Linked DNA regions of Drosophila melanogaster. Changing the gene in region 1 together with any one later gene gives a genetic interaction. Each region holds a gene or a part of one and is shown on either strand. Other genes may lie near its edges. The genes, in order: hdm and rec.

Region 1 (4,285 bases):
AGATAAGGTTTGTATATGTGAGCAATGAAAACGAGCTTGGTTCACATTTCCCATAATACTTCTTTATTGAAACGCCCACACATTCCGACCGCCAGTTGCCCGGATCGGAAGTGCGACTGCATGTGTATACATAGGTGCAGCCTTCCGATCCGATTGGTATACATAGATCCGCCGTGGAGGCGATAAGAAGGCCCACAACATCAATAGCTAGCAAAGGGCCAATTTTGGACCGCCGTGCCAACACATAAGTGAAGAGAAGATTATGTTAAGCACATGGGTTTAGATCGTAATCTGTATTGGTAGTAATTAACATTTAGATATCCAAAGCGTAGACATATACAGACAGGTAGACATTGGGTTAGCGGACTATCGTAACTGGCAACTGGCCATCCTATTCATACAGTATATAATATAATATATATATATAGTATATAAAATTAACTAATTCATTTATAAAAAGCAATCATCAAAGCCCAAGTCGCACCGCTCCCTTGGAGTTTGTTTGGTTGTAGTTTGTTGGTGTTATCGTGTTATCCATTATCCTTTGTGTTGTCTTTGATTTGCATTTTCTGGTGTTTCCTGTTGTGGTTGTTGCTTGAGAGGATTAGCGTGTGGTGGGGGGTGATGAGAGGTGCAGCTGTCGTCTAGGTGAAGCTGCAGCAGGAGTTAGTCTTTTTCGCCGTCTTGTAGAACGCCTTGCTCTGCAGCGACAATTTCTCCGACTTGCTGACCATGTCGTCCAGCTTCTCGCCCCGCTCCAGCACCGCCTCGATGGTATTCTTCAGTATGATCTTCGTTTCGTCCAGGTCGTTTTGCATTTTCGTCAGCGGATCTGCTTCGACGGGATTTTGATAGCGTGCTAGAAACGCTGGCAGCAAGTCAAATGAGATAGTGGCCTCCGTGCCATTGGGCCACTGATCGGCCGACACCTTGGCCGTAAAGTCATCCAGAATCTTTGTGATAAGCGTGTGCGCCACGCGATGCGGATACTCATGATCGGCGATCAGTACACCGGCCAGATTGTCCGCCCGCACATAGACATGACACATGTAGGCATCCTGTTTCACCGATTGCCGCAGGGCCGGCTGTGTGCGCTCCACAATCGTCTTCGAAGCGAAACTGCAAGAGGAGGAGTTGTTTAGGGGGGTGTTCGTCATTGATGACTCTTTGAGCCTGCGCCGTTCTTTGGCATCCACATGCATACTCACGTCATGAACTCGTTGACGGTGCCACGTTGGAAAAAGGAGAAGGACTGCAGGTCCGAGGCGGTCTTCAGGAGACGCGCCTCGCTGGCGCCCTTGTGAAAGATGCTCAACGCGAATAGTTTGACCATTTTGAGTGGCTGTGGGCTGCCAAGACTGGGTCTGCGGGTCGCGGGTTGCTCGACTGTTGCTCCTCCAATTAAATGCTTCTGGGGCACTGAGCTGAACGGTTGTCCTGGCTAATCCTACTATGCTCCGGCGGATGGGTTTCACTTTCAGCGCACTGGCATTCGTGGAAAAGTGCGACAAGTGAGTTTGTTTAACGCAGTAAATCTGTGCCGTTCCCCTCTGTGTGTGCGTGTGTGTGTGCGCGGGTGCACATATGCGTAGTGTGTGTCAGCTTATTAGGGATGGTACGTCTGGTATTCGGATGCCATCCGATTATTATCGATTCCAATGGTTACAATTAATAAGCGCAACTTTCTGTAAATGTTTTAATTGTGGTTTTTATCAAACTAAGTTGTTAGCAATACTTTCTGTTACTAACTGAATCTACGGCCATTTGTGGTGTACCATCACTACAAACATCGATAACTACTAATCGGCGGTAACGGCAATGTAACGGTTTTCTTAAGCACTGCAATCTGACTGGTCGCGATTTCTTAAATAATTTCAATGGCAAGGCGTATTAAGTTCCAGCGGTTGGCAGAGATGCGTCCCACAATGACCCGTTTCTCCACCGTTGCCCTGATTGTCTCCAAATCCTCGCCGAACATCTTCTATGACAAGATGAGTGGCACCGAACGAGGGGTTCTCAGCTTGACCATCCGAGATTCCCCCAATCACCTGACCAATTGCAAGTGCTGGGGCCAGCGGGACTGTGTGGATGAGTACGCGGCCATGCTGCAGATCGGCCATGTGGTAGACATTGTGGGCGCTAAAGTGATGTCCATACCGTTTGCTGCTCCGGGAGAACAGCGTTATCAGCCCCAAGCGACGGTCTCCTGCGCCCTGGTGGTCAACGAGGGATCCGGCTATGTGGTGCGCCACGACAATGACGACTTTGGCCAAATAACAATTCTCCAGCAGTTACTCCATCAGCCCATAAGGCCACTTGGTGCGGTCCTTAAGCTGGCGGATGTGCGTTCCGGCTTGGGATTTCCCGATAAGATAATCACCACCAATGTGAATCTACTGGTAGTAGTGGCTGCAGTGCGTCCAGTGCGTCAGATAAAGCGAAAGCTGCAGGGGCCACTAAGTGAGGTCCAGGAGCTGCTACAGTGCTTGGAAGTAATCGTGATCGATGCCAGCTATCCGGAAGGTATGCTGCTCTCCGTTTGGCAACCCGACTGGATACAACGTGCCCAGCAATGGCAGCCACGTCGCACTGTCCTTCATTTGATCGACGTGCGTGTTTCCTACTCGAACTTTCATCGTTCTCTCGTCCTCTCCCATTCCAATTGCACACTTATTTGCGAAAATCCTCAGGCGGCTGGAGATGATTGCCGTCTCTTGCTAGCTTTCGCCGCCACTGTGCCTCTAACAACTTTTAGTGGCTGTGACCAGGCAGAGCTGGACAACATGCCTGCAGGTGAGTAAAGGATAATTAATGCAGTATTATTATTTACTATAACTCTTTCAGTTGCCAGCATTCAGGCGCAGATGACGGTAAGACAGATATATTCACGCGCCGAGGGCGAACTGCAGGATCCGTCCATACATCAGTTTACTGCAGTGCTGTATGGGATGGTCACCAAGTTCGACTTGGATGGATTGACCTCCCACGTCAACAGGAAGTGGTGGGTGTTGTACATCCCCATCCCTTCCTAACCGCCGAAACGCTTCCCACTATCCGTTACATAGTTTACAAGACATATTCTTAAAAGCCCTTTTATTTTACAGCATTGCCTGTCAACAACATATACCACGGAACCTGCAAGATTGCGCCTCGGACGCCTGCCAGCAGTATTTTTCATTGGACAATGATGAACCACGATCCATTAGCTACTTCAATATCAACATTCATTTGTCCGACCAGACCGGCACTCTCGTCGAAGCCCGGTTAGCTGGACATCCGGCAGAACGTATCCTGGGACTTCGGGCTGAAGACTTCGAGCGACTGGCGGAGCGCGAGAAAAGCGAGCTAAAGTGGCGCTTTCTGCTGAAATACTTCGAGGTAAGATTGATGATCAAAAAGCCGGTGGGAGTGCGCAATCATCTCGTCATTGTGGTCGTCGACATGCAAGCCATTCCCCTGGAAAAGCTTGTCGCAAATATGGTCGTTTTCTAAGTGTATGTGGGGTGGTCCCATCAAAATACTGGTGAACCATCTACATAAATAGCGATCTTTATTTCGCATTTTCACATAAAAGTGTACAACTGCAATACATAAATAGATTGAAAGCGCCTCGAAACTCTTAATGTGGGTCCTAAGTGGGATACGTTTGGCTCATTGGGGATGAATCATCTAAGTGTCATTTTGCCTAGTGTTACAGAAGGTGCCGGTGTCTTTGGGTCGTGGTGGTGGTGGGTGGGTGTCTACGGGGCGTTTCAGGTCCACAAAACTGATTTTGGGTCAATTCTAAATGTTGTAATTTCGAGTTGTGTGTTTTAACATGGTATCAAAATGCATTTGGATAACCACAAATGCTTAAGGATTAATGCTTCTTTAAAGTCCTGACTTGCGACTGTTTTATTGTGTTATCAAACGTTCTGTTTTTTAAGACAGCCTCAATCAACGCTTAGTCTTTAAGATTATTTGATACCATTACCAATTTTGGTCAATTAGGAAATTTCAAATACAATTTTTAATTGATGGTTATCGATGTGCAACAATTGAATCATTTTAATACAAATTCGAAAAAGAATACAATGTGTGTCAATACGGAAGTTGCTTTATGGCCATGGAACGCACTGTTCTGGACGCCCATTAGCTTGCCTCAAACTAATCTCACCTGTTGTGTTTCTATAATATTTTTGGGGGGAGGATGGATCTACAGCTGGCGCGGCATGGGAATCACAAGCACCGACTCAACGCCAGCTGCAGACGCAACTTTGGGCTCAATATCTGCTACTAAACTATA
Region 2 (5,098 bases), on another chromosome or scaffold:
AATTGTTGTACATCAACCAATTTAAATATGTTTGACAGTTCCAGATTTTCTGTCAGAAATCGAATCGAAACATCGAATGCTAAACAAATCAAGTTTGTGTTAAATGTTTAAAATTTTTAATGTTTGCGCCATCCACAAAGGAATTTGATTGTGACTTCGCTCTTTATGGATGAAAGTAAAAAATTCCTCCAGAACGTTGCCCATATCGCTGGCAAATTGGATCTCAACCACTTGGAAAGAACCACGATGGCCTACAAACGTTTATGTCTGGAACTAGAGTCCATGAGCAATGAGGTGACTCCAGCCGTTACTCCTCCGACTTCGGCTTCTGCTTCTCCGCCGACCGCGGTCTCCCCTAATGGACTCCGAGCAAGTGCCTCAGAATTCGTGCCCCAGGTGCCGGTGACCAGTGACCGGATTCCCATTGAAATGGACAATGATGAACAGGATGATGATTCGGATGACGATGGCTACGATGAGGAGCGCAAGAGAGCTGTGAGTATTGGAGATTTGGAGATATGTCTCAGTTTCTAACCATCAACACTATCTATAACACAAAATATTAATTTATCTAAAGATAAATCTACCTAATTTAGCCAAAGCCCGCAATATACGGCATCCGGTTTTATAACCATCATTACGAGTCCGACGACGTGAGCGAAAATCACTTGCAGGCGGAAAAGAAGCGAAAGTTGGGCTATAGGACTCCAAAGTTTCGGCCAAACCAGCCGACTTGCCGGTCCCCAAAGTCGGAAACGGACTTTATTCCCACTGCTAAGCCTCCGCCGGAATTGGCCAATGGACAGCCGCATTTCAATGGACCCTACATGCCGCTTCTGCAGCACCGAATCGCCAACGCAGAGGCCTACGGGCTCATCCAGGGTTCCGACGAGCGGAACAGCCTGCTCCTGGATGACATGGTTAAGCAACTGGCCCGCCTGGACAACTGTCCCGTCAATCTGAGTTCACTTTTCCCGAAAAAAGGTGACCAGAAACCAGAACCCTAGATCGCTCTGAATGTTCTGTAAAAAACTATGAGTTTCTTATTAAAAGGAGGCTTTGACTTAGTATTCGATCTGCTATTCAGTTTTATCATTGGTTGCATACGGTCTCTAAAACTTTTCAGCAGAGAACAAAATGGTAAAAAAAAAAATAAATAAATACAAAGCTGTAGATAACCAAAAAAAAAGGCGATAGCTGTCAATTTCTAAGGCTAGTTAGTTAGTAAGCCCTAATTTCCCTTACAGATTCCAGCTAAAACCGAGACGGAAGCTCCGTGCATTAAAGATCCCAAGGAGATTGAAGCAAAACCTGCTGAAAACATGGAAATTATTCATAAAACGATCGTGGAGGATAAAAAGCACAAAGATCCCAAGGAGATTGAAGCAAAACCTGCTGAAGCCATGGAAAGTGCTGCTAAAATGTTCGTGAAGGATAAAAAGCATATGGAGCAAATGTTGGCTCTTTCCACGATTCCACTGCGCATGGACCAACAAATCCAGTGCATCAAGACAATTCAGCAGGAGCTGCTTAAGCTTCACCTGAAGCAGGTGATGCTCCTCGACGGCTGCACCGAATTACTACATGAACTAAAGGCCGTGCAGCCCACTGATGAGAACGAGGAGATAAAAGTGTTGGAAACATTTCGTGAGGTCAAGTCGAAGCTATCGGGTGTATTTGAACACTACCTTCCCGCCCAGCTGAGCATACTGAAGCAAGAATCGAAGATATCACAAGTGTCCGCCGAAATAATTCCAAAATAATTTTATTACATCGATTTATAAGTTTAAATATAAAATCGTTAAGGGTTCAATATCTTAGCCAAAGATCGTTATCGATATTTCATGTCATTTGTAATATAGGTATCATCTCTATTTAAAAGCGGGCAAATTTGTAAACTTTCCCCAGCTGAAATGAATCCAACGCTTTCCCGGGGGGGCGCCCCATCGCGATTTGTGCGTGGTCGTGGTCGCGGAGGCGGAGCCTACCGTCCGTACTTCTACTTTCGGCGCAATGGACGTGTGATCCCAGCCGGAGGCAATCGACAACCCAACCAAGGGGAACCTGGAGCACCAGACGCTCCTTCTGTTCCGCCTGCAACTCGGCAACCCAGGGGCTGGAGCCGCACAGCCGGCAAGCGAGGACGCAATGCTCACTTGGACTGCAGCTTTCTGCGGCCGGAAAACTATGCCGCACCAGAAGACGGGCTCCAGGTGCAGAGCATTGCGGTGGATAATCCACGGGCTTATTCCGGCTGGCGACTGTACTTCTTGCGCGAGAAATACGAGGAGGGCAACGAACTGGCCACAAGGATAATGGCCGTGGAGGCATACTACCAACGTAATCCTCACACCTTCGATTTTGTGATGATACGGGATCGGGGATTCTTCCCCCTCTGCGCAGCAGGCATCAAATCAGATGCCCAGCTAAAGGAGGTTTGGCCTAGTTTGTCCGAAGACATCCGTGAGCACCCGCTTCGCACGCTAGGAACCCTGTCGTTGGCTATGCACACTGTGGTCGTCAATCACCAGCTGGACTGTAATGATTCCACCACAGCTATGGTGTCCACTCCGGAACAGTACGTCCTTCCAACCCCACGGGTACGCAAGATCTACGCACGACCGGATGATTTTGTGCCTGTGGAATCAATAGAAGGAATAAGCCATTCCCGAGTGGACACTTTGTTTTCCATCCGGGGTTTTGTGAGCAATGTGGGCGAGCCTAGCTACAGCCTCACGTGGCAAGCCTTTCGCTGCAGTCGCTGCCAGATGGAGATTGCCATGCGCCAACGGGGAACCTTCCAGCCACGTCCTTATCAATGCAAGCGGTCGGAGTGTGTGGCTCGTGACGAATTCGTGCCTCTTCGCAGTTCCCCATACACCAGGCTTTCAATCCGACAGATTATCCGCGTGGAGGAGTCCAGTTTGAACTTGGTCCACGACTTTGAGACCAGCATGCCTGCTGAAATGGACGTGGAGCTGCGACATGATCTAGTTGATGCTGTGCGTGTCGGACAGGAGGTCGTGGTAACTGGCATCCTTAAGCTGCAGGAATTGGGCGACGATACCACCACTGGAGACACCTCCAACCAGATGCAGCCCTATCTCAAGGCAGTCAGCATTCGCGATGCGAGCAGCATCAAGCGGGAGTTCAGCGAACGTGACTTGGAAGCGATTGTCATGATCAATGCGGAACCCAACAGCTTTAAGCTACTGGTGCAATCCATTGCCCCGGAGGTATACGGACATGAGCTACCCAAAGCCGCCTGTTTACTATCCCTTCTCGGCGGGAAAGGTGCGGAGACTGAAGCCATCAACGTGCTCCTGGTGGGTGATCCCGGAATTGGAAAGACCAAGATTCTGCAAAGTTGTGCTCAGATCGCTGAACGTGGTGCCCACGTGAGTGGAAAACGTGGGGCTCAATCCGCACAGCAACTGGGTGTTACGTTTGCTGGGCGTAACAAGCGTGTGCTACAAGCGGGTTCCTTGATGATGGCCAGTGGAGGCGGTCACTGCACCCTCGATGATGTGGATAAACTTGCCTCCAAGCAGGCCGTACTGTTGCAGTGCCTACAATCAGAGGAAGTAAATCTTCCACTTGCAGGAGCATTTGCCTCATTCCCGGCGCAACCTTCGGTGATAGCGTGCGCAAATCCACAAAGAGGACAATACGATGAGGGGCGCTACCTTCTACAGAATATTAATATTTCACCCTCTTTGCTGCGGGAGTTCCATTTGGTTTACATATTATTGGACAAGCCCTCGGAGAGAGATATGTCGCTGACTGCCCACGTAAGGGCTCTCCATGCGGGCGCTAGGAAACGAGCGAGAATTGCAGCCCGCTATGCTCTTAAGCCCAAAATGAGCGACTCCATGTGCGAGGTCAGCCTTAATGTGCCGGCAGCGGGAAAAGATGATGACACAATCAAAACGGAGGACGATAATGACAGCATTATGCAGCAGGATTATGATCTTGACAAACGTCTGGAGGTACTTCCGGAGGAGGGGGACTTGGACCTGCTCCCACCCATACTGATTAAGAAGTTCTTGTCCTATGCTCGCCAGGAATTAAATCCGGTCCTAAACGAGGACGCCAGCAATGCTGTTCTGCGTTACTTCCTTGAGCTCAAAGGAAGCTGCAATCTCGATGAAGACGTTTCCAGCCAGATTGGCGCAGGGTAAGTGAAATTTTTTGGTGACGGATTTAATTAAGTTATGTCTTTTATTCTAGTTATAAGTAATCTTTAAGTTAGGACATTGGGCTACCTCATAAGCTTGAGGAAGGAGGAGACGGGAAGCTCCAGAAAGATGGCCAGCAAGAAGGAGCAGAGATAGGACACGGTCACCGTAAAAAAGATGAAAGCAAACTGTAGATAAGATGAGAACAATTTGAGTTACATAAAATCCAATTCCTATTGAATGCCAGAAGTGAGCTCACCATCATGCCCGTGCCAAAATAAATGGGCTCCCGCACTGTGGCCAAGACGATTCTCGCCACAAGAAGGTGGACGATAAAGGCTCCATAAGTGAGGCGTCCCAAAATGCGGAAAATGGGCAAGCAGCAGAACTTACGGAAAATCCCTGTGAAAGAACAGTAAGATTTGCCAAGGATATACCAAGCATATCTCGCAGTTGATACTTACATCCCACTTTGCTGGCCATGCCCACGATGAAGATTCCCAGCCCGAAGCCCCAGATGTTTCGCTGCAGGCCGGCATATAATGCTCCCCAAATGGCCGACGGCGTCACGTAGTAGTGCTGGAAGATGGGATGAGCACTAAACAGCCATAGAATCCCCACTGGAATAAGTGTAAACCAAAGAAGCTGGAAGCTCTTTAACTCCCGTAGTTTGTATTGCTTCAATGCCAACTGATCGTAAACCAAAGCGGCCAGGACTCCACAGAAATAGCTACCGAAGTTCATAAAGGACGACGTGTAGAATTCGGTGAATTGACGATCTCCGATAAAGGAATCCTTCTGGGTTCTGTTTGGTAGATGGGTAGAATGATTGTAATCAAGTAGTAAAGTTTTTAAGTCCGATCACTTACTGTGGCGTGGGTACAAAAATGGGATAGTAGTTCATGGCATATGTGAGCACC

What was found.
Region 2: of hdm (region 1) and rec, changing one suppresses a phenotype caused by changing the other (phenotypic suppression), as found in Drosophila melanogaster (one study listed by BioGRID).

What each region holds. Positions count from the first base shown.
Region 1 is NC_004354.4:7,917,724-7,922,008, reverse strand, and holds hdm (hold'em), read left to right. Parts: upstream 1-1,877; coding exon 1,878-2,793; intron 2,794-2,844; coding exon 2,845-3,001; intron 3,002-3,104; coding exon 3,105-3,492; downstream 3,493-4,285. Other genes in the region: YKT6 v-SNARE, read right to left, coding at 645-1,119, 1,209-1,333. UniProt on the Drosophila melanogaster protein: Single-stranded DNA-binding protein required for meiosis. May be involved in the resolution of recombination intermediates into crossovers in the meiotic recombination pathway.
Region 2 is NT_033777.3:15,829,433-15,834,530, reverse strand, and holds the start of rec (recombination-defective), read left to right. Parts: upstream 1-1,898; 5' UTR 1,899-1,913; coding exon 1,914-4,177; intron 4,178-4,209; exon of another isoform or gene 4,210-4,261; coding exon of another isoform or gene 4,262-4,366; intron 4,367-4,437; coding exon of another isoform or gene 4,438-4,580; intron 4,581-4,642; coding exon of another isoform or gene 4,643-4,983; intron 4,984-5,047; coding exon of another isoform or gene 5,048-5,098. Other genes in the region: CG43317 (uncharacterized protein), read left to right, coding at 166-495, 597-1,007; CG43318 (uncharacterized protein), read left to right, coding at 1,138-1,140, 1,248-1,763; CG4576 (uncharacterized protein), read right to left, coding at 4,262-4,366, 4,438-4,580, 4,643-4,983, 5,048-5,098. UniProt on the Drosophila melanogaster protein: Required for meiotic DNA recombination in females. Probably not involved in DNA repair and recombination in somatic cells.